Linked DNA regions of Macaca fascicularis. The protein of the gene in region 3 interacts with the protein of the main gene of each other region in a pairwise test. Links are inferred from orthologs where the notes say so. Each region holds a gene or a part of one and is shown on either strand. Other genes may lie near its edges.

Region 1 (6,153 bases), on a different chromosome or scaffold from region 3:
CACCTTCTGTCTGCCCAACTCTGCCCCTCCCCCGTGAGGAAGCTGTGAGCTCAGTGCAGAGCTTTCGAACATGGGTGTGGCGTCAGTTAAAACCAAGGCAAATGAGAGGGCCTTGTGAGATCGACATTCAGAAGCACGCAGGACAGACTGAAGACAAGGGCAAAGGGTAGGAAGGGGAAAAAAGGCTGGTGAAGACTTGAAGAAGGGGGAGCAGGAGACAGGAGCAGAGGGGAGCTGTGTGCGCCTCTGATTCCCAGGAACCGCCCCGCACCCCACCTCCTGCACTGGGTCGGCATGTCCAGCCCTGACGACTCCGCTAACTCAGTCACTTCTGCTTCCAGGTGGAGGACCTCTTCCTGACCTTTGCCAAAAAGGCTTCTGCCTTCAACAGCTGGTTTGAAAATGCAGAGGAGGACTTAACAGACCCTGTGCGCTGCAACTCCTTGGAAGAAATCAAAGCTTTGCGTGAGGCCCACGACGCCTTCCGCTCCTCCCTCAGCTCTGCCCAGGCCGACTTCAATCAGCTGGCCGAGCTGGACCGCCAGATCAAGAGCTTCCGTGTAGCCTCCAACCCCTACACCTGGTTCACCATGGAGGCCCTGGAGGAGACCTGGAGGAACCTACAGAAGATCATCAAGGTACACCTCCCGCTGCCCTCAGGAGCTGCTCAGCCTCCCAGAGCCCTTGCTGGGCCCTGCTCAGAGCCCACACTGAGTAATGACAGGACAGGGCAGGAGGAAGGAGCATGGTTTCATCAGAAGTTTCCATTTCTTTCTGTTTTCTTGAGACAGGGTCTCTATCACCTAGACTGCAGTGCAGTGGTGCCAACATGGCTCCCTGTAGCCTCAGCCTCCCAGGCTCAGGTGGTCCTCTTTCCTGAGCCTCTTAAATAACTGGGACTACAAGCACATGCCACCACGCCTGGCTAATTATTTTAATTTTTGTAGACAGGGTGTTGCCATGTTGCCCAGGCTGGTCTTGAACTTCTGGCCTCAAGCAGTCCTCCTGCCCAGGCCTCCCAAAGTGCTGGGATTACAGGTGTGAGCCACTGTACCCAGCCAGAAGTTTCCAGTTTCCTTTTTTTTTTTTTTTTTGAGACAGAGTCTCAAAGGCTGGAGTGCAGTGGCCGGATCTCAGCTCACTGCAAGCTCCGCCTCCCGGGTTCACGCCATTCTCCTGCCTCAGCCTCCTGAGTAGCTGGGACTACAGGCGCCCGCCACCTCGCCTGGCTAGTTTTTTTTTTTATTTTTTAGTAGAGACGGGGTTTCACCGTGTTAGCCAGGATGGTCTTGATCTCCTGACCTCGTGATCCGCCCGTCTCGGCCTCCCAAAGTGCTGGGATTACAGGCGTGAGCCACCGCGCCCGGCCAGAAGTTTCCATTTCTGACAGTCCAGCAACTCCCTGCTTGACTGGCCAGTCGCTTCCCCGCCAGGTCCACCCCTTCCTGAAGCACCTCGGGGGGTGGGAACAGAGAAAGAACTACCAAGTGCTCTGAGCCGGCCTCATGTCTCCCAGCCTCCTTCCCCTCTCATCTTTGGGGAGGTTCCTTGCAGGGAGGCCACCTCCATCCATCCTGAGCCCATCTGTGAAGGAGGGGCTGGTGTCACTGCCACAGCAGTGCATAGCATCTGCCCCCCTTTGGCCCTCAGGAGAGGGAGCTGGAGCTGCAAAAGGAACAGCGGCGGCAGGAGGAGAACGACAAGCTGCGCCAGGAGTTTGCCCAGCACGCCAATGCCTTCCACCAGTGGATCCAAGAGACCAGGTGCCAGCCCTCTGGGGCCAGGGGGCAGCAGCATGTCCCTGCTATGCTTAAGCCCTGGAGAGCCTCCAGCCCCCAGGAGGTGGGGGTGCTTTGTGTAAAACCAGAGGCAGCCTGGGAATAAAGCTGGGCTGGCAATGCCTGGTCGTGTTTGGAGCCGGGAGTGGGAGCATAGGTAGAGCAGCCTCCCAGTGCTGCATGTCCCAGAGACCAAGTTGCTGGAGCTCCTGGATTGAGTGGGGCCACACAGGGTGTGTGATCAGCCCCAGCAGTGATTTGGCGACAGACGATGCAGGGTCTATGCACTGAGTACTGATGTTGCTTTTGTTTTCCTTTCTTTCTTTTGTCTTCTCTCTGTCCCCCACCTCCCGATTGCTGCTGTTGTCCGGATACCACCTTGTCTCCTGGCTGCTTGGATCTGCTCTCCACAGGACATACCTCCTCGATGGGTTAATATTGTTTTCTTCCTTCTCCGGGCTTGTCGTGTGGGGTCTCGTGCGCTTGCCCCTCTGCCCTTGTCCTGTAGCCTGGCTTGTGGAGGATCCCGGGATGGGCCTTCCTGCCCAGGGCAGGCTGCACTTCCCCTCCCACCTTTCCCATCACCTGACAAGGAGCGTGTTCCTTGCCCCAGAGCCCATGGTCCCGGGTCCCCGATAGAGCCTTCAAGCCAGAGGGAGCTACCCTTGCCTCACTGAGTGATTCCAAGGGCTCACTTTGGGTAGTGAAGGTGATGAAGCACGAAGGCCAGAGCTGGAGTCCAGGGGCCCTGAGAACCCCCGCGCCTGTCCAGTCCCCGGGCTCTGTTGGGCTCTCAGCGCTGCTTCCGCAGCGTGTCCAACAGTGGTCAGTGGGCATGAAGCAGATGGCAATGTTGGGGGCTCAGGCAGGGTACAGTAAGTTCACAGCTGAGAAGGGCTGGGCACTGACACCTCCCAAGTAGCTGAGGCTGCCACTTGACTTTCCTGGGGTCAGGAAGGGTAAGAACTGTCCGCCCTAATAGAAGGCAAAAATGCCCCCGTTATGATGTGATAGACAGGACGTGGGAGGAGCCCCAGGGAGGAGCAGAGCTGTCCCACCCAGTCCCGGTGGGGGCTTCTCTGCTCAGCCTGGGGCCTCTCCCTGGGCGGGTCACCTTTGTCATCTGCCAAGCCCGCTGTGAAAGCCAGGGCTGGTGGGACTGGAGTGGCTTAGCCTGCACTCCTGAGGCTCAGCACACAGGCATATCAAGCCTGTATAGGCGGCCAGGAGAAAAATAGACCCCTCCAGCCGGGCCACACATTCTGATGGCAGAGCAGCTGGGGACGTAGGGATCGCAGTTTCTGGCCTGTGCCCGTAGGACACCCTGGCCACCTGACTCCCCTCCCTGCCCCATGGCTGTGTCTGCTGGTCTTGTTCTTGTCTCCATGAGGTCATGAGGTGCCACGCTCCCCTCACCTTATGGCTCCTTCCAAGCCCTGCCCTTCTTGCCCATTCCTAGTGTGAGGTGCCTGGGGTGAGCCATTGGGCCTGCTGCCTCCAGGTACCCGCCAGGCACCAGGTTGCCCTTGCCTGCGCCCTGCCAGCTTGGGCCTTGTATGTCTGTTGCAGTGTGCTCTTGCCTCCCCTCCCTTTGGTGTATTCATTTGGTTTCTTTTCTTTGACTAGCATAGCATATCGTCGAGTCATTCGTGTCTATCAGTATGAAGTTGGGGATGATCTGTCTGGAAGGTTTTTCTCCTTATTTCTCTTCTTACCTCACTGTGGCTTTACTGATGCACTCTTGACATCCCCAGGCGGCTCCACCCTGACTAACCTGCCGCCCTCGGCCGCTTGGGAAGGAGGGGTCTGTCCTCCCACTGCACCGGCACCCAGCCTCCTGCCCCCAGGTCCTGGGGGGCATTTTCCCCGGGGGGACATGGCGTGACTGTGAGTCTGACCTGCTGGGGTAGGAGGAAGCCTGGTGCCTTGCCTTGCTAGAGCACTTTGAACTTGGGGAGATTGCAGAGCTAACCCCAGCTCACTGGGTTTTAAAAGGGTAGGCTGGGGCGAATGTGGGTACAGGGGAGCTTGGGCTAAAACCCCACCAAGGCCATACACCCTGTGTGAATCCATCCTTGCACGTCCCTAACTTGTCGTCTTTGTTTACTGGTAGCCTCTGTGACCTGGCACTGTGTTCTCTTGGGAAGGAGCTTCCCCAAAGCCCATCTGCTCTCAGAACTTGATCCTAGAGAGGAGGCTGCCTCCCTGACTGTGTCTAGAGGATGAAACCGGGATCTGGGGCTTAGTCACAGCCATCCCTCCTTTTGGCACAGTTGGTTGTGATCTCCCAGCACTCCACTTGTGTCCTTTGTCTGCAGGGTCGTGCTCTCATTCCCCCTAGAATGGGGCTCCCTCCTCAGGAACCTTGCCAGGACACTCCAGGGTTTCTATGGGGAGGCTGTCAGGTTCTCAGCCTCCCCTCTGCCCTGAGGTCTCCCGTCTGTCAGGTGTCAGGGTGTCCCATCTCCTCCAAGGCTGCAGAGAGGATGCTCAGACAGGCTTGCAGCTGCCCTGTACCCATGGGGGAATTTAAACTCCATTCCTGAGTCATCCTGGCCTTGGGAGCAAGACGAGTGGGCTCAGCCCTAGCCCACACCAAGGCAGCAGCTTCCCATCTCTAAAACGGGAGAAATGCTCCCTGCCCTCCCTGGATTCCTGGGGCCCATTAGATAAAGATGGCCAATTGCAGTTAGGTTCAGTTCCCTTAAAAGGAATGTGAGGTTGCCAGGCACTGCTCTGAGAGAAGGTTCATTCTGAGCTCTCGGCCAGCTGGGAGCAGGCCCTTTTCCTTACTGTCCTTCTGTGTCTAGGTCCTGCATGGTGGAGGAGTCGGGGACCCTCGAATCCCAGCTTGAAGCTACCAAAGTAAGTGCCCATGGGGCTGTGGCCCAGCAGAGACCCCTCACCCAGCCACCCCCCAGGCTACCCCTTCCCTTCCTGGTTTAAAGTCAAGAACCAGATGTGCTATTGTACTCTTTTTTTTTTTTTTTTTGAGACGGAGTCTTGCTCTGTCACCCAGGCTGGAGTGCAGTGGCCGGATCTCAGCTCACTGCAAGCTCCGCCTCCCGGGTTCACGCCATTCTCCTGCCTCAGCCTCCCGAGTAGCTGGGACTACAGGCGCCCGCCACCGCGCCCGGCTAGTTTTTGTATTTTTAGTAGAGACGGGGTTTCACCGTGTTAGCCAGGATGGTCTCGATCTCCTGACCTCGTGATCCGCCCGTCTCGGCCTCCCAAAGTGCTGGGATTACAGGCTTGAGCCACCGCGCCCGGCCTATTGTACTCTTTTCCCTTGGTCTAAAGCAGTCTAGGGCTCTTCTCTCTCTCTTCTTTTTTCTTTCTTTCTTCATGGAGTCTCATTCTGCCGCCCAGGCTAGAGTGCAGTGGTGCGATCTTGACTCACTGCAACCTCTATCTCCTGGGTTCAAGTGATTCCCCTGCCTCAGCCGCTCCCAAACAGCTGGACTACAGATGTGCCAGCACGCCCGGCAAATTTGTGTTTCTTTTTAATTATCCTTTGAGATGGAGTTTCACTCTTGTTGCCCAGGCTGGAGTGCAGTGGGCATGGTCTTGGCTCATTGCAACCTCCACCTCCTGGGTTCAAGTGATCCTCCTGCCTCAACGTCCCAAGTAGCTGGGATTACAGGCGCCCACCACCACACCTGGGCTGTTTTTGTATTTTTTGTAGAGACAGGGTTTCATCATGTTGGCCAGGCAGACTGGTCTCAAACTCCTGACCTCAGGTGATCTATCTGCCTTAGCCTCCCAAAGTGCTGGAATTAAGCGTGAGCCACCACACCTGGCCTAATTTTTATGTTTTTAGTAGAGACAGTGTTTTGCCATATTGGCCAGGATGGAGTTGCCATCCAACTCCTGATCTCCAGTGATCTGTCCGCCTCGGCCTCCCAAAGTGCTGGGATTATAGGCGTGAGCCACCACTCCCTACCGAGGGCTCTTCACTTTAAAGAAAGTCTGGGGCTGGGTGTGGTGACTCACGCCTGTAATCCCAGCACTTTGGGAAGCTGAGGCGGGTGGATTGCTTGAAGTCAGGAGTTCGAGACCAGCTTGGCCAACATGGTGAAACCCCATCTCTACTGAAAATACTAAATATTAGCTGGGTGTGGTGGCAGGCACCTGTAATCCCAGCTACTCAGGAGGCTAAGGTAAGAGAATCACTTGATTCTGGGATGCAGAGGTTGCAGTGACCCGAGATCAGGCCATTGCACTCCAACCTGGGTGACAAGAGCGAAACTCCATCTGAAAAAAAATTAAGTCTTTGGGCACAGTGGCCCACACCTGCCCCAAGTCCAGCATGGGCAATGTAGCAAGACCTTGTCTTAAAAATAAGGCTGGGTGTGGTGGCTCATGCCTGTAATCC
Region 2 (6,201 bases), about 49 Mb from region 3:
TGCCCACATCTGCATATGTCTCAGAAGCTGTTTTGTTTTTGTTAGCTCACCAAACTTTGTGAACTATTTTATACAATGATCAATTACGAATTCATGCCACTAAAGAATCTCCCAGGTTCATGGATAATAACACCAGTGTATGGGCTAATTCTAGACTATGGACTATGGTATCATAGAAAACAAGCCCCTGGAAACTTTTCTTCAGTGTGTTGAACGAAACCATATTTCCAGTCATTCTCTCTCGATCACAACATAATAGTTAATACACATTAAAGATCGTGCTAAGTGCTTTGCAATGCCCTGTGAGGTACCACTTCTAGCCTTATTTTACAGACAGATGAAATAAATTTTTGAGTCAAAGACTTGCTCAAGGTGAGAAACCTAGTAAGTGAGAAAGTGTGTCCTCTCACTCCAGCCTCTATGACACAGAACATGGGCTCTTTACTACTCAGTTCCATCTTACTTCAGAACCAGAACTATTAAATCTGTTCAAGCAATCAGTGCTTTCAGAGAGGGACATGAGTAGATTATAAAGACTGTGTAAATACACACTCACTTTCCAGCATCCTTAGTTTTTTGGATTGCTCTAGGAGAGAGATGCCAGAAAAATACACACACAATTCCTCTCTTTGTCAGGAAAAAGCAGGCGCTCAGAGAACTCAGCCAAAGGGAAGCGGAAGAACATAAGATTACCCCTGCAGGACAGTGAGTGATGGGTTAGCCAACAAAGATAGAAAGAAGTACTGTGCTTGGCAAGTGATGTCTATAAAAGGCCAGTGTTTTCTCACAAACCTGAGTAGCAACAGAAGTGACAAGAAAGGGAAAAGGCAGGGGGAGAGAAGGAGAGCGAGCGAGCCGTGGAGGCCTGTATCAGTGGTCATGACGGTGTGAGTGGCACTGGTGGCTGTTTTTGGAAGCAATGACAGATATAATCAGCTGAAAACAGCAGAGAAACAAATCACTCGTGACAGAAGACAGAACAGCTTTGCTGCTGTGGGGGATAGCCAGCCACCTGTCTCTGGTTTCTGCAGTCCTTTGAGGTCTGGGCAGGAAACTCCAGCCTGAGCAGGGTGGAATGAGGGCAGGCAGCTGCCTCTGCTCAGCAGCCCCCAAATGCATCCGCATGCCCTGCCGGGGCAGCCCAGCCAGTACAGATGGACCATCAGAGGAGGGAAGAGGACATAGTCACGCGATGTGGCATCCCAGGGATGCGTGAAAGCCATTCCTGGGCAATGACATCTGCAGCTACAGCACAGTCCTTAACTGATTTTCTCACAGTCCTGTTCTGCAGAGGCAGCACGGAGCAGGAGGGCAAAGGGGGCTTCTCATGCCTTCTGCCATTCTTTGATAGGGATAAATGATGCATTCTCAATCGTCAAAAAATTCCCCCTTCCCTCCAGATTGCTGCCTTTATGTCTCTCCCATATAGAAAAACTGGAGTTGCCCTACCATCACCATGGGACTGTCCCAAACTGTTCACCATATTCTTTTAAAAAGTGCCGGGAAGTGTTTGCAATGTTTCAAAAAAGACATTTCCATTAAGAAAAAAGTTAAAATGTTATGGCTAGGTACTTAAATAGTTGGTCCACTATTTAGTGGGGCAAACTGTTCAGTTTCATTTCCCAAAGACATTTGTGGTTTTATTTTATACAGTTCTATGTGATTCAAATGATATTTTGAGGACTGCTATAACAATAAAAGTTTGGGTTTCTGAAGGGTGCTCAAATTGAAGGGCTACAGTGACAGTTTTTTAGCCATGTTAGGCGAGGTGCTGGATACAGAAAACATCCATTGGTCCTCAGGCCTAACCGGATGGACCAAGACCACAGTGCACATGTGCTAATCACCCTCTTCTTCCCTGACAGCTTTGCCGATTCCTGCAGGTAGGAATGTAAGTGGTCATTAACACACACTTCCTATAATTTGGACTGCTCAGGTGCCAGCTCTTGTTACTCTGTGACCATTTTAGCTGCAAGTAATTTTGCCCTGTCACAACTTCTGTGACATTGGGCACCTCTCTGTGACCATTTTAGCTGCAAGTAATTTTGCCCTGTCACAACTTCTGTGACATTGGGCACCTCTCTCCTGGAAGCCCACTCCCTACCTGTGTTGGGGTCAGCTGTGGGTATAACTTATCTCTTCCATTGAACTGTAAACTCCATAAGGGCAGGACTCCTTCTGAGCCACCTTCATTTCCCTCCCTCCTCCTGCTCCCCTGCCCAGCACTATGAGCATATGGTCAGACCTCATTTCCCCCTTCATCCTAAGCCATGCCAACACTGCACACTACATACCCACCACCCGCCAGTAGCCACTCTGAGGCCTGCTGGCCACATGTGTGGGCCTCAGCTGATTGTCTACTGCTGGACCCCTTCTGGTTGGTTCTTCTCATCCACTCATCCTTCCTCTCACATCTTGTTGCCCTGCACCAATGGGGCGATAGATGGAATATCAGATGTCTCCTAGAGGACCAGTCCTGCCAATAGGGTCCCATTCTTATAGCCAATTGATTCCACCGTGTCATGACAAAATTCTGTGCAGCTTCCAACTATAAAGTTCACTTGAGAAGTTAAGACAAATCATGTTGATTTTCTAGAAAGTACAGATTCTATTTCTCAATTCAAAAGTACATTTTTGCCTCTGTATGGTCACTCTATCTAAAATTTCCACCCCCATCCCCAGTACACACTATCCTCTTATTCTACTTTTAAAATTTTTCTTAGCACTTTTTTACTAATGTACTCCACATTTTACTTACTTATTGCTATGGTTTCAATATATCCTCCAAAACCCATGTTGAAATTTAATTGCCATTATAAAAGTATTAAGAGGTGGAGCCTTTAAGGAGTGATTAGGACATGAGGCCCCTACCTTCATGAATGGATGAATGCTATTATCTTGGGGGAGGGTTAATTATCATGGGAGTGGGCTCCCACTTAAAGGTTGAAGTTTGGCCCTTATTCTCTTGTTTCCCATGCTCGCCTGTCCTTCTGCCTTATGCCATGGGACGATGCAGCATGAAGGCCCTCACCAGAAGCCAACACCATGCTTTTGGACTTCCCAGCCTCCAGAACCAAGAGCTAAATATAATTCAATTATTTATAATCACCCAGTCTGTGGGATTCTGTTACACCAACATAAAATGGAGGAAGACACTTATTTATTATTTATCCCTCCTGATAGAATGTAAGTTGCATAAAGGCAAGAATTTTGATTTATTTATTATTCCTATGTCCACAGCAGTTCCTGGCTGAGAAAAGTCACTCAACAAACATTATTTGGGTAAATGAAGGAGTAAGCAGTGAATGAAGAGATGTGCCTGCTCCTTTCTGGCCAGACCACTGGCTACCCAAGGCTGTGGGCATCCTCTCCTTCTGTCCATGGGAAGGAATTCTCCCAGCCTGTCCATCATGCCTCCCAGGAGCCTGGCTTGTTGGCTTTATGCTCTTCCCATGATGCAGTACTTACCTTCAGCTTGTGCTCATGCTCCTTGTTGACGCGGGCCAGCAGCTGGGCTTTTCTTCTGTTGAGGGCATCGATGAGGGCATCGCATTGGGCCACCAGACAGGCTTCAAACTCCACACTGTTCTCCTGTGTAATAGAGCACATTTCTCAACTGCAAGGTGCTGGGTGCCTCAGGCTGCCAGAGAAAACAGAGCTCCCCCATCCTGCTGAAGGGAATGAAAAGGAACTCTGTCCACAATGCACATTTGGTAATTTTTTAAAAAATAACTGGACAAACTTTATTCTACACTGGTCATGTTTTGCTTTAAATTTAGATTAAAAGGATAAATATTTATCGCTTAAATTTATCAAAAGGAAGTCATCTCCACAATTTGAATTATATTAAGTAAAACAAAGCTATAGTTTATAGAGTTGTGTATGAATGCTTTTGAAGGCCACATATGTCCAGCTACGTATGATGGAAGCTGGCATTCAAAAAGGCAATGAGGAGGGAGTGGGGCATTGCTGAGGTATGAGAAATCATTAAATTCAAAGGAATAAAGAAGAAAAAGGATGGCACTGGTCTTCAATGTTAACAATAATCCAATGAGAACAGAAGTTTATAAGATACAAGAATAATGGGTAAAAGTACTTGCCCCTTTCATTAAGGAAAGCAAATAGTAGGCAGACAAAAACAATCAATGTGTGTAACAGGGATCACCCTGCCATAAAAATCAGATATGACCCAACACCTTGCAGGAGAAAGGCAACTTCATGCTAAATGAATTATAGCTTCCCTTTGATGTTTAAATTAAATGCTGGATATAACATTTTTATTTGATTTAAATCTGTACATGCCATAAACATTTATTTCAAGCAATTCTTTCAATGAGTTATACTCTGTTATTAAGGATAAGCCTTTCAATGAGTAACATATGCAATTGTGATTCTTAAACCATAATCTGAAAAAAAAGTAATTTACAGTAAATGAAAGCTAAATACTCACATATACATTAGTAGTACTTAAAAAGCACCACCCAGTTGAGGAAACTGTAAACTTTTGGGGGCTGGCAAGGAAGGCACAATTTTAATTTATTTAAGGCACAAATTTTAATTTATTACCAAAGTCATAAAGAACTGTGTCTCTTTATGTAATAATCAGCTGGTAGGCATTTAGTAATTGTTTTCAAATGCAAGGTCTTCGTATAAGGAATGTGTTAGTAATTGCTTGAGCAATGCTAAATTTTGGCTTTCAGGGCAATTGCTTTTGAACTCTCAGAGAAGGCCCTTGGAAAACATCATTTAAGAGCTCTCTGTGCCACATGAAGGGTAATATTGGAGGGTGGGGTGAGGGCAAACCTTCCCCTTGTAAGCTCTGTCACTGATTTAGAGCAGAAAGAAAGCTTTGCTCTGATGAAGAGGCCCGGGCAGAAGCAAGCCTGGGGCTGCACATTTTATGCCAGTAGAGTAAAGAAAGAACTGATTGATAAACTCTATTGCTTTGGAAAACAGAAGGAAGTATACAAAACTGCTAGGCTGTTAGGGAATCAAAAGTTTAACATGGGCATGTGTGCCAAAAAAAGGCAAAGAAATTAGTGTGTAATTCTTTGAAAGGGTGGCTTACATTTAAAAATCCATTTCTGCCTTGACATGGTTAAATATGAACTTAGTCAACTTACTGGAGGCCAGGTTATTTCTGTGAGACAAACCTCAAAACATAAGAATGCTAAACAGTACACAGGGTCATTATTTTAGTGTTTCATACAGTCTATGGTTTTTCTCCTTCAGCTATAGTGGAGAATTTATGAGCTCTTAAATGCTGGTTGAACTGCTGGTCATTGTGTCTAGATAAAGCAATCTGAAATTGGAGTTGCCAGGGGATCGTGGTTGAAAAATATTTAAATGTCTAAGCAGAGGAGAAGCATTATTGTGGGTCAGGGAAGAAGAAAAGAAGAAAGAAAGGCAGAAAGGGAGGAAGAAAAAAAGAGGAAGAAGGAACAAGGGAGGAATGAAAAAGAAAACAAAGGAAGGCAGGAAGGAAATAAAGGAAGGAAGAAAAAAAGAGAAAACCGTGACCTGTTACCATTAAATGATACAATTATTACAAGGTGTTTTGGAAACCTACAGGGCTTTACCAACTCAGCAATAAGGATCCTGAATTTACAAAGAAACAGGCCTCTTTCTGAATATTCAGTAGTAGAGAATTAGGACCTCAGTGTGGAAGACAGGAACCAGTTGGAAAATCAGGCTGTGTTTCCGGCTTGTTGGCAAAAAGCAACTACCTTAAGAAGGGGTATCTTTGAAGCTGATCTCTGTGTGTGTTTGTATGTAAAGAACAACAACAACAACAAAGTAGGAATTTTCCCACAACACATAAAAGTCAAAGAGGAGAAGGAAACTCTCCCGCCACACAGTTACGTATTAACCCACGGGTTTCCTTGTGTCCCAGGTAACACCCGTACCTGGATCTGCTGGACCATGTTGCGGAGCTGCACCAGAAACTCCTTGGCTTCTTTGGCCCTGTCTGACAGTCCGTTCAGCGCCTGGGAGAGCTGGCTCTGCAAAGACAAAGAAGGAAGCCATGAAGCTATAATCACAGGAAGCAGCAACAAGGCCACACAGGTGTTTTCAGTGAGACTCAAAACTGGAGAGTCATCAGCCTCCTCAGATTCCTCTTGTCTGACGTTAGACCTTTTTGCTGGCATTTGTATGGGTAGATTCCGGTGTCCAAACTCCCTGGGCTCCTGAGTAGTTTCT
Region 3 (5,137 bases):
TGATAGAACATTTGGAACTGAGGTTGCCCAAAAAGGCAGAGGCAGCCAGCCACATAGTATCTGGAGGCACATTTGGCCTGAATTTGAAGGCCTCTAGAACCTGCATCAAGAACGTCTCCATTGCCACCACAAGTTGAAGGGAAACCACCCTTGTCACAGAGCAGGAGGCATTGAAACTGGCCTTGCAGAGCTAAACAGGTGGCGAGCAGAGCAGAGCGTGGCCTGGCCCTGGCAGCAATGCCGAGACCAGTGTGGGTGGACAGAGATGAGGCGGCCTTAGCGGTCAGCTGGGGTTTGTCAAAGGCTTATGGTCAGCCGGGCCGTGTGCTGGGGACACTCCCTGCCTGCAAAGAGCACCGCGTGATCAAGGCCACTGGGGTCCTGAGGGGTGCTCTGGAGAGGGTGTGGGGCCACATGGTGGAAGGGACAGGGCGCTTTGGGGAGTGGGGTGGGGCAGGCCTCTGCCGGGAGCTGGCATTTTCGTTGACCCGGACGAGGAGGAGTCTGCTGTACGGAGATCATGGGGACAGCCTTCCAAGCAGAAGGAAGGGTAAGTGCCAGGGCCCTGAGCCTGCAGCCACCCGAGAGCTCTCCCACACCTCGGAGTAGACAGCAGGCCATGGGGCGGGGGAACGGGAAGGGTGAGGAAGAGGGTGTGAGGGAGCGCTGAGCTAGAAGTTTAGATTGTATTCATGTGCAGGGTGTGAGGGAGCAACGAGTTAGAAGTTTACATTGTATTCATGTGCAGGGCCGTCAGGGAGCTTGAGGCACAGGGTGCCATGATGATGGCTGGGGAGGGGAAGGCAACCAGAGTGGGCAAAGCGAGGGCCCTGGAGCAGATACAGCAGCAGGGGGAGCCTGCAGCGCTCCCAGTGGACCCCGCCCTGTCCTGCTGGTGCAGCAAAGGCAGGCTGCCATGTGAGTGGCCAAGGGTCGCTCACTGGGCAGGAACATTGTCAAGGCCATTCATGCTTGGAATAGGGTCTCTTTTCAGCTCTGAGACAAATCTGTTCTCTGATTTCCAGATGGCTCCAAGGGGAGCATGTACCACCACCCCTCTGGTGTGTTGCATTGCTTAGGAAGCCTGCTGTGTTTCTCGCTGGGTGGCTATTAGGGCTGCAGATGGAGAGGGCCAGGGCCTGGCGAGGCGGAGCAGTCGGCCCAGGTGTCCCAGCAGTTGTTGCTGGAATAGGGTCTGGAACCCACAGGAGAGGCCTGAAGGACCCAGGGGCCTCTGGCTGGATGCGTTTGACTCTCAGGACCCAGAATTACAGACCTATTTAGGGCTACGCTTGGCCAACTCTTTCTTGAGCTCATCTGGAGAGTGTGGGAACACGCATTCTTCATCCTTATTCTCCCTGGCTGTGGGCAACAGTGGTCCTCAGAGTCACCAGATGGTCCTCATCTGTGCCCATAACCCCTCAGCAGCCAAGGCTGGCCCTGCCAGATAAATGTGTTGTGCCTGTGGTCACACCCAGGGGCTCATGCCACATACGTTTCCCTGAAACCATGGGCTCCAGCCTCCATTCTGTCCATGTGGGAGGGAACTTGGGTCCCAGCAGTGTGTCTTGCAGCACCAAGTCACGTTGAAAAGACCAGATAGACAAGCATTTTGCCAAGATCTTCCAGGGAAAGTGCATATGTGACACATTAACATTCAAATCAGGCCGGCACGGCGCTCATGCCTGTCATCCTAGCAGTTTGGGAGGCCGAGGCAGGAGGATCACTTGAGCCCAGGACTTCGAGACCAGCTTGGGCAATACAGTGAGACCTCATCTCTACAGATAAAATTTTTAAAAAGTAGGGCACATGTCTGTAGTCCCAGCTACTGGGAGGCTAAGGTGGGAGGATCACTTGAGCCTGGGAGGTTGAGGCTGCAGTGAGGCATGATATGCCTCTACACTCCATCCTGGGTGATACAGTGAGACCCTGTCTCAGATCAATAAAAATAAAATTCAAATCAGTTATCTTAGTTCAGAAACTTTTCAAAGAAGTGGTCCATGCAAACTACCCCGAAAGAGCAAAACCAGCCAGGTGCAGTGGCTCACGCCCATAATCCCAGCACTTTGGGAGGCCCACCCAGGTGGGTGGATCACGTAAGGTCAGGAGTTCGAGACCAGCTTGGCCAACATGGTGAAACCCCGTCTCTACTAAAAATACAAAAGTTAGCTGGGCTTGGTGGCACATGCCTGTAATCCCAGCTACTTGGGAGGCTGAGGTAGGAGAATCGCTTGAACTTGGGAGGCAGAGGTTGCAGTGAGCCAAGATCGAACGCTGGCTCCAGCACCGGGGGTGCTGGTGTGTGTCAGGAGCGCGCCTCCAGGCTGGTGTCAACTCTGCAACTTCACATTGTACCTCCTGCTGCCGCTGCTGCTTCCCCGAGCCCCAGCTCAACCTGGAGCATGAGCTCCCAGCCTGAGGAGGAGGCTGTCGATACTGTTTTTCTTTCCAGGGAGGCAGCGGGTGGGTGCGATGTTGTCACTTAAGTTGCCACCTCTGTGTAAGAGCTCTCTGATCAGAAAGCAGTTTCTTTGTTGACCCCAGCCAGCCTTGGCTCTCAGGTTGGGAAATATGGTCACAGTATCCTTGGAGACCTCTCCAGGTAGAGACTGGGTCTGAGGTGGCCAGAGTCCGAAGCAAGCAGCCTCTGTGGAGCGAGGGGAGCAGGTGGGCCTGACCTGAGCGCAGCCTCTGCACAACCAGCTTTCCCCCACACCCATCTCCAGCCAGGGCACCCACAGGCCCTGCTCCCACTTACCGCACCCGCCCTTCCCAGGATGAAGCCTGCTGGGAGCGTGAATGACATGGCCCTGGATGCCTTCGACTTGGACCGGATGAAGCAGGTGAGCGTGCCCTGTGCCCTTCCCTCAGAGGCCGAGGGCAGCCAGTAGGCTGGGGACCGTCTCTGACCAGCACGGCCAGGCAGGCCCTGGGGGCCCACACGTGGCTGCCAAAAGGCCAGTCAAGGAACAGCCGTGGAGGAAAGGGGGTGCCCAAGCCTGTCCTTCGTCCCCAGCCCCTGCCATCACCAGAATTAGGATGTCCCTCAACCTTTCTGGGTACCTCCCTCAGGCCTGCCTCTGGGGCTTTCTGCCCCGAGGCAGCCCTTAGTTTCGGTGGTGTCTACCTGAGGGAGGTGGTGGCAGGATTTTCCCAGGCCTCCCACACCGTTCCCCCTCAGCGTGGGAAGGGGCCACGAGGAGACAAGGGTGACAGATGCAACTCTGGAGAGGCCCAGGAGGCCCCGAACCCTTTGGACATAGCCCAGCCCAGGCCGGCTTTTCTGTCTCCACTGCCTGTCCCTTCACCTGGACGCTCCTCTCCCAACAGGAGATCCTAGAGGAGGTGGTCAGAGAGCTCCACAAGGTGAAGGAAGAGATCATTGACGGTGAGTGGAGCCCCAGGCGGGGCCACAGAACGAGGGTCCCTGTCACCCAGGGTGGGGACCTGCCGTTTTGAGCTGAAGCCCATGCTGTACTGGGCCCTGTGAGAGATTCATTCTTCTTACAATCTCTACTTGAGGAAACAGGCTCAGGAAAGCTAAGTGGCTTGCCTAAGAATTTGTAGCCCCCTGGTAGTATGACACCTGAATGTGACCTTCCACACCCTTGCACCTTCCTGGAAGACCCACGTGGGAAGTGCATGGAGGGGAGACCCCAGCATCGTTCCAGAGCCAGGTCTGGAGGAAACCACCTGAGCTTCTGTCATTTCACCCCCTGGTGGTTTATGTTGCCTTCTTGATACTGCCACCTCGAGTCACCGGTGTTGGGGTTCTGGGGGGACCATTCTGCCTTCCTGGGGGTACAGGGAGACCAAGCACTACAGAAGCACCTTCCAGGCCTGAGCTCGTTCACAATCTGCCTGGTCCCGGACTGGGGCGCAGGCGGGGAGCAGCCTCTGGCTGCAGAGCAGGGCGGGCCTCAGTGCATCACATCCGTCCTTCTGGTTTCCACCAGAGCCTTTGAGCGCACTGGCTCAGATCTGCAGCCAGAGGAAAAGGGGGAGTCTGGGCAGGGCAGACTCAGGGGACAGAGCTGTGCAGCACAGCCTGTGCCAGCTCCCCCACCTGCCTCCCCAACCAGGGTGACGAAGGCTGACACCTAGGTGTGTAGCTGGGTCTGGCCCCCAGGGCATCACAGTGACCTGGGCAGAAGGGTCCCACAAGCACACAGGGGCGGAGGCTGATGGCAGAGGTGAGAGGCAGGTGGGAGTCCGAAGACCCAGGCCTCCTCCCGCCGCCGGCCCACCCTTGTTTGAGCAGAGAGCACTCAGTTCCTGTTTGTCCAGTTCCCCCAAAGGCCTGGGCTGGGGAGATAAGGAGTTAACAAACGAGGGGAAAGAGGCAGCCTGGGCGATAGGCAGGCACCCAGCCAACTGGTCACACCACCTTACTGCCAGGCGCCATCCGGCCCCAGGCACAGCTGGGTCAGAAACTCAGGGCCCGCCACAGCCTCTCCACCTGCCGTGGTGCAGCCCCAGGTGGAGGCCGCCCTGGCTGAGAGCCAGGGGAGGGGAGGCATGGGCTATGCCAGGGGCCCTGAGAAGCAGCTCCCTGTTGCTGGGGGATGCCTGCCCCCACCACCCCTCACCTTCTCCTAGCTGTTGGCTCTTGGCCCAACAAGGTCCATCCGGGGAGAGGCCTGAGCTGACATAGAGGAGGGGGAGTCTGGGAGGGGATGGATACCAGAGGAAGGAGGGAAAGGCCCAAATTTGGGAGGCAGGGGGTTGGTGCACTAGCTTGGGGTGGTGAGGAAGCGGGGAGGAGGCAAGAAGACAAGAGAGGCCCCGCCTCTCCTGAGGAGTGAGCAGAGCCAGGGTGGTCCCTGGGGTCCAGGGCCAAGATTTCCTGCTGACCCCTGCAGGAGCTGGAAGGGCAGAGCCTCGGCCGGCCTCCACTATGTTGGGGGAAGGGGTCCCGGGCCCCCGGCACCTGGACACCCACCTGTCCAGAGCCTACAAAGACCCTGTGTCCCCACACAAAGCAGCTCCTCACACCAGGGTTCCAGTGCCCACCACTCCTCAACAGCAATGAGGCCACAGGCAGGGCATCAGCCTCTGTCTCCATGCCAGGTCCTCCCCTAAAAGGGCAGTGACAGCAGGGGCCACCGCAGGAGGAATGGCAGATGAGACCCAAAGC
Region 4 (6,201 bases), on a different chromosome or scaffold from region 3:
CAGTAAACCCTGAAAGATCCAGCACTAGAGGACAGTCAGACTCTACCTCTTATTAGCTGGGTGGCTCTTGGGCAAGTCACTGAACTTCAGCTTCAGTGGCTTCATCTATTAAGGAAGAGTGCTAAGGACCCTCTCGTGATTAAGTTTATTTTGTTTTGTTTTATTTTATTTTTTTGAGAGGGAATCTCGCTCTGTCACCCAGATTGGAGTGCAGTGGGGTGATCTCAGCTCACTGCAGCCTGGAGGCCTCCCGGGTTCAAGTGATCCTCCTGCCTCAGCCTCCTGAGTAGCTGGAATTACAGGCATGCACCACCAGCCAGGCTAATTTTTGTATTTTTAGCCATGTTGGCCAGGTTGGTCTCAAACTCTTGACCTCAAGTGATCTGCCCTCCACAGTCCCCCAAAGTGCTAGGATTACGGCCGTTAGCCACCCCACCTGGCCTTTAGGATTAAGTTTATTATTATTATTTTTGAGAGGGAGTTTCACTCTTGTTGCCCAGGCTGGAGTGCAATGGCCGGATCTCCACTAGCCGCAACCTCTGCCTACCGGGTTCAAGCGATTCTCCTGCCTCTGCCTCCCAAGTAGCTGGAATTACAGGCATGTGCCATCACGCCCGGCTAATTTTGTATTTTTAGTAGAGCCCGGGTTTCTCCATTTTGGTCGGGCTGGTCTCGAACTCCCGACCTCAGGTAATCCGCCCGCCTCGGCCTCCCAAAGTGCTGAGTTTACAGGCATGAGCCATCGCGCCCGGCCAGGATTAAGTTTAAATAAGAAAATGGACGAGAAGCTTCGAACACAGGGTCTGGTATACAGCAGGCGCTAAGTTATGTTAGTTCACTTCCTCCGCCTCCTTTCGCTCCCGTGCTGCGCTCCATGGAGGAGGCATTCACTGAGGCTGGCTGGGGCAGATCCAAGAGAGGTGGGCTGGGGAATGGCAGGAGGCGGAAAAGCGACCCCACGGTTGGGAAGAAGAAGGGGGCGGAGCTCCTTACCCGGTGGGGGTGGGGACAACTCCTCTAGCGGGGGAGGCCGCTGGAACACCTCGACGGCTGCTGGTGGAGGAGGTGGGTCCAAGGAGTTGGGGAGAGGTGGGGCTGGAGGTGCTGCCTGCCCCTTGGGCATGGAGGCCCCACCGACACCTTCGGCGCTGCTGAACACCAGAGAAAGCGGGGCTCGGCCCGGTTGGCGACACGCCTTCCCTAATGCAGCATCCCCAGCTGGCCCCACCCCTCCAATCCTGAACCCAGCCCTGCACGTGTGACCCAGGACTAACTGGGTCCTTTCAAGCCCAGGAGTCACTATGACCACTGGCAGGAGGCCCCTCTCGAAAGCCACCTCCCACCCCTCACCCTCCCACGCAGGCTTGTAGGTCTCACCTTGCCGAGGCCAGGGAAGAGGCGGAGGAGGCGGCGGAGAGTCTGCCGTCGGGTACCACCGGGAGGTGCACTGGCTCGGGAATCCGGGGTGGTCTCCTGGCGGGGGTCGGGGAGTGGGTATTAGGAGGAAGGAGGAAGGCTTCTGGCCAGCAGGGGTCGGGTGTGAGCAGGAAAGGCATGTGGCCGAGGGGGAGGTTTGGCGCCAGGCATCCAGCATGACGGCCTGAGCCCCCAGGCGCCAGGGGTGGGTGGCGAGGCTGGGGGAGGAGAGTTTCAGGGTCGCGCGGGGTAGGGCTAGGCTAGTTGGCGAGGCCTCACCCCAATGTGGCGGAGGCGGGTGTGGCAGGGGCCTTGATGCTCTTTCGAGACAGGGTGCCTGTCCTTGACAGCTGCGTGCTGAGGTCCTGCGAGGGAGCGGGAGGTAGGGCTGACATTTGGGGTGAGAGGCCGCTCCCCACCCTCATCCCCAAGAGGAAATGGAGGAGGGGCGGACGAGAACCGGGAGGGAGAGCCCAGCATGGCCAGTTCCCACTTCCACTTCTCAGGGCCCTCTCCTACACTTCCCCCACGCTACCCCCTTGTCATTGCCTGGGTTCTGGGACTCAATTCTACCAAAGCCGACAGCCACTTCCTCTGCACAGCCACAGCGGATTGAGTGGGCCCGGCACCCCTGTCCCTCCTCCAAACCATCTCAGAGCCCAGGAAGCTGAGGCCCTGGCTTAGTTAGTAGTCCCTAACTTTGATTGGGCTGAGGAGGCGGTGGGGAAAGGAGAGGACACATCACACTTAGAAGTGTCCCACCTGTCATTTTCGAAGATTTGTGGAATTGGCTTTGGGGAGTTAGGGCAGAGAGGAGCAGGACCCAGGCCACTTAGAGGGGATGTGCAAATGACAGGGCGCACACCCACATGAAAGAGGGAACTTCTGTTACCAATGGGACTTCCCCAAGGGGTGGGTACAGTGTTACCTCATAGGCTTCACCAGGGGCAAGACGAAAGGGATTTGAGCTGAAGCACAAAGAATATAAGTTGGGCTGGGAGCGGTGGTTCACGCCTGTAATCCCAGCACTTTGGGTGGCTGAGGCAAGCAGATCACCTGAGTTCAGGAGTTCAAAACCAGCCTGGCCAACATGGAGAAACTCCATCTCTACTAAAAATACAAAAAAAAAAAAAAATTAGCCAGGCATGGTGGCAGGCACCTGTAATCCCAGCTACTCGGGAGGCTGAGGCAGGAGAATCACTTGAACCCAGGAGGTGGAGGTTGCAGTGAGCCAAGATCACGCCATTGCAATCCAACCTGGACAACAAGAGTGAAACTCCATCTCAAAAAAAAAAAAAAGAATATAAGTTGGACAACAGAGACCTTACTGGTGGGGAGGAGGCCTGGTGGTTGAAGGGGAGAGTGTGGTTTCCCCTTTAAGGGGGGCTGATAAGTTCAGGATATCAAGGGGTTCATTTCAATACAGAAATGTCAAGGTGTGGAGACAGGAATTGAAGACGGGACGGGTGTGAGTGCGTGCCCTCTCCGACCTCGCAGAAGGACGTGGGCTGAGAAGACGCCAGCGCCATGCTCCCCTCTCTTCACCAAGTCCCCTTTGTGTGGCTGCATCCCCGCTTCTTCTCACCAAAGCAGCTGTGGGGTGACTGCTCAGTGCAGTGACCTCAAACCCCCAGACAGAGGAAGTTGCTGTTCTCATGTGGCTGGGAGCCATTCTCATGCACACCCTGACATCCTCCCTTCCCCCTCTTCCCCTTCCCACATGCCCGGTGGCACAGGGGCAGGGCGGGGGGGCGAGGGGTGCTCAGGATCTCACACTCAGCAGATCCTCTGAGGACGGTACAGACCAGTTTTGGAGGGAGGGATTACAAAATCTAGGGAGAGGGAGAAGAGCTCAGAGTGGTGGCTTCAGGGAGTGGGGAAAGAAAGCAGTGGCAAGTTGGGACAAAATGTGCAGGAGAACTGGGGGTCTGGAGGGAAAAGGGCCACAAGGCACGAGAGGGTGGGTTGGAGGGAAAGAAGAGGGTCCCTCTCTCTACCTTGATCCCATGGCCAATGTCGTCCAGGCAGCCAAAGTTGAGGGGTCTCCTGCAGTAGGGCGTGAGAGGGGGTAGGCTCTCTGGGGCGATGACCTTCTGGCCCGGGGGCAGCCGCTGGACAGTGGCTAAGGTGCCGATCTCCCTTCGGGCCACCTTCTCCATGTGCATGTTCACCATCTGCATGACAGGGTTCAAGGTGACAGAGAGGGGTGGTCTGTGTCCAATGCCCTTCCCCCTAAGGAGGAAGAAGATAGAGACTTTGGGCTGGGGGTAGGGACCATGGGAGGCAACGAGGTCTAGAAAAAGAGGGCCCTTCCCCTCCCCCCGCTCCCCCACCAGGCTACATAGCAATTGGGAAAAGTGGCAGGAAAGGATGAAGCCACTTTGGAGCCACTTCCTGGTGGAAAGAGAGTAAGGGTTATTATTAGCTGAGCAGGAACTGGAGGAAAAGAGAAAACACAACATCCCTGGGGATGCCGGGAAGAGACAAGCACTGGGCTGGCTTGGGAGCAGAGGGGGAAAATATGGAGGTGGCAGAGAATGGTGGCTTGACCAGCTTTGGGAGACAAATAAGTGAACTGACTTCCTCTCAGAATGTTCCGTGGAGAAAGCCTACAGTTCGAAAGGGTGGGAACTCTGGTCTGCGGGGGGAGAGGAAAAGGCACACCCCACCCACTGAACATGTGGGTGATGCACAGGCCAGGCTGAATGTGTGGCTGGGTCTGTGCATGTGCTTTATGGGGCAATTCCTCGGTCAAGGATCCAGGAAGGAAGGAGGGTGTGTGCACTAGAACACTGTGGCAGGGTGGAGGGTGTATACTGTATGGTGCTGGCAGTGCTTCCAGGGCTGAAGATGACCTTGTCAAGCTAGCACCCTGGGTCTAGGATATTTATTAAGGCACTGCTTGTATTTAGATGCAAACAGGGTTCATTTGCTTCTTTCCTGTATATGCCGCTGCTCTGATTGGTAGATATTACTTTCTAATGTCCAGGATAGAATTCCAAGAAAGAAAAAGCTCTGCCTTCGGGGAATTTGTAGCATAGCCACAGAGATAAGGAGGTCCAAAAAGCTTGGAAAGTGCCAACCTTCTGCTGTAGAGTTGGGCATTTGGACATGGGGGAAAGCAGGAAGGAACTTTTGATGTAGAAAATGTCTGAGTCGGGCTGAAGAGTTGAGGCCTGATGCAAGACGCCTTCCCACGCCCCACACCCCTTACCTGGCCCAGCGTGCTTACACGGGCTTCCACTTGCCGCAGGGCGGCCCCCTGCAGGTCCAACATTCTCAGTGTGTGCCCGGCCAGGTTGCCCACCTGGTAGGCCACACTGGCCAGTGCCTGGGTAGTGAAGGCCATGGTCTCCTCCAGCGCCTTCCGCTTGTCTGTGGCCTGAAATACACACAGCCCTGGCCTAAGGGCCAGCATCTTCCACTGGGTCCTTGGCTGGCTGGGGTGGGATGGGAGAGGATTTAGGGAAAATAGGCGCTGGATTGGGACAGAGCCGCAACCCTTAGATGTTTGCGTTGGCTCTCAGCAGAATTATGTTGTAGCAAGAGGGACTAGCTACAACATCACTTTAAATTCACTTTAAAAAAGTGAATCTGCAGCCTTGGGGAACAGATGCAAAGGGAGGGAAATATACCCATTCTCAAACAGTCAAGCTGAGGACTGAGTACAGATGATGGTACCACCCTCCTGAAGACTTCAGTAACAGGCTGTCCTTTTAGGGGTTGGAGTGGGGGTGAATAGTAGAAAGGAAAGAGGAAGGCAACACTGGCTAGAGCAGACATTCTATTTTTTTTTTTTTTTTTTTTTTTTTTCCTGGAGACAGAGTTTCGCTCCTGTTGCCCAGGCTGGAGTGCGGTGGTGCGATCTCGGCTCACCGCAACCTCCGCCTTCAAACGATTCTCCTGCCTCAGCCACCCAAGTAATTGGGATTGTAAGCAAGCACCACCATGCTTGGCTTATTTTGTATTTTTTTTTTTTAGTAGAGACAGGGCTTCTCCACGTTGATCAGGCTGGTGGTCTCAAACTCTCAACCTCAGGTGATTTGCCCGCCTCGGCCTCCCAAAGTGTTGGGATTACAGGCGTGAGCCACCGCACCCAGCCGACATTCTTAAACACAACAAACCATGTCAGGGGCAGTGGCTCACGCCTATAATCCCACTACTTTGGGAGGCCCAGGCAGGCAAATCACTTGAGGTCGGGAGTTCAAGACCAGCCTGGCTACAATGGCAAAACCTCGTCTCTACTAAAAATACAAAAATTAGCCAGGCATGGTGGTGCGTGCCTGTAATCCCAGCTACTCAGGAGGCTGAGGCATAAGAATCACTTGAACCTGCCGGGCGCGGTGGCTCACGCCTGTAATCCCAGCACTTTGGGAGGCCGAGGCGGGCGGATCACAAGGTCAGGAGATCGAGACCACGGTGAAACCCCGTCTCTACTAAAAATACAAAAAATTAGCCGGGCGCGGTTGTGGGCGCCTGTAGTCCCAGCTACTCGGGAGGCTGAGGCAGGAGAATGGCGTGAACCCGGGAGGCGGAGCTTGCAGTGAGCCGAGATCGCGCCACTGCACTCCAGCCTGGGCGACAGAGCGAGACTCGGTCTCAAAAAAAAAAAAAAAAAAAAAGGATCACTTGAACCCAGGAGTCAGAGGTTGCAGTGAGCCAAAATCACATCACTTCTCTCCAGCCTGGATGACAGAGTGAGACCCTGTCTCAAAAACAAACCAAAAAAAAGCTTTCCATGTGACTCTTTGTTTAGCTCCAGTCTGCAGATTGGTGTTTGGGAAC

What was found.
Region 1: the proteins of EVL (region 3) and SPTAN1 interact in binary tests that used the Homo sapiens proteins (3 or more experiments, as listed by UniProt). The link is inferred for Macaca fascicularis from reciprocal best matches to the Homo sapiens genes EVL and SPTAN1.
Region 2: the proteins of EVL (region 3) and TRIM9 interact in binary tests that used the Homo sapiens proteins (3 or more experiments, as listed by UniProt). The two-hybrid records come from large-scale screens. The link is inferred for Macaca fascicularis from reciprocal best matches to the Homo sapiens genes EVL and TRIM9.
Region 4: the proteins of EVL (region 3) and ABI3 interact in binary tests that used the Homo sapiens proteins (3 or more experiments, as listed by UniProt). The link is inferred for Macaca fascicularis from reciprocal best matches to the Homo sapiens genes EVL and ABI3.

The regions. Positions count from the first base shown.
Region 1 is NC_088389.1:15,333,038-15,339,190, reverse strand, and holds part of SPTAN1 (spectrin alpha chain, non-erythrocytic 1), read left to right. Parts: intron 1-341; coding exon 342-638; intron 639-1,650; coding exon 1,651-1,763; intron 1,764-2,191; coding exon 2,192-2,209; intron 2,210-3,404; coding exon 3,405-3,467; intron 3,468-4,588; coding exon 4,589-4,643; intron 4,644-6,153. UniProt on the Homo sapiens protein: Fodrin, which seems to be involved in secretion, interacts with calmodulin in a calcium-dependent manner and is thus candidate for the calcium-dependent movement of the cytoskeleton at the membrane.
Region 2 is NC_088381.1:118,941,704-118,947,904, forward strand, and holds part of TRIM9 (E3 ubiquitin-protein ligase TRIM9), read right to left. Parts: intron 6,003-6,201; coding exon 5,907-6,002; intron 3,592-5,906; coding exon 3,469-3,591; intron 1-3,468. UniProt on the Homo sapiens protein: E3 ubiquitin-protein ligase which ubiquitinates itself in cooperation with an E2 enzyme UBE2D2/UBC4 and serves as a targeting signal for proteasomal degradation.
Region 3 is NC_088381.1:168,229,747-168,234,883, forward strand, and holds part of EVL (ena/VASP-like protein), read left to right. Parts: exon of another isoform or gene 1-550; intron 551-2,776; coding exon 2,777-2,843; intron 2,844-3,330; coding exon 3,331-3,388; intron 3,389-5,137. UniProt on the Homo sapiens protein: Ena/VASP proteins are actin-associated proteins involved in a range of processes dependent on cytoskeleton remodeling and cell polarity such as axon guidance and lamellipodial and filopodial dynamics in migrating cells.
Region 4 is NC_088390.1:57,496,426-57,502,626, forward strand, and holds part of ABI3 (ABI gene family member 3), read right to left. Parts: intron 4,799-6,201; coding exon 4,631-4,798; intron 3,591-4,630; coding exon 3,414-3,590; intron 1,782-3,413; coding exon 1,696-1,781; intron 1,474-1,695; coding exon 1,378-1,473; intron 1,152-1,377; coding exon 994-1,151; intron 1-993. UniProt on the Homo sapiens protein: May inhibit tumor metastasis. In vitro, reduces cell motility.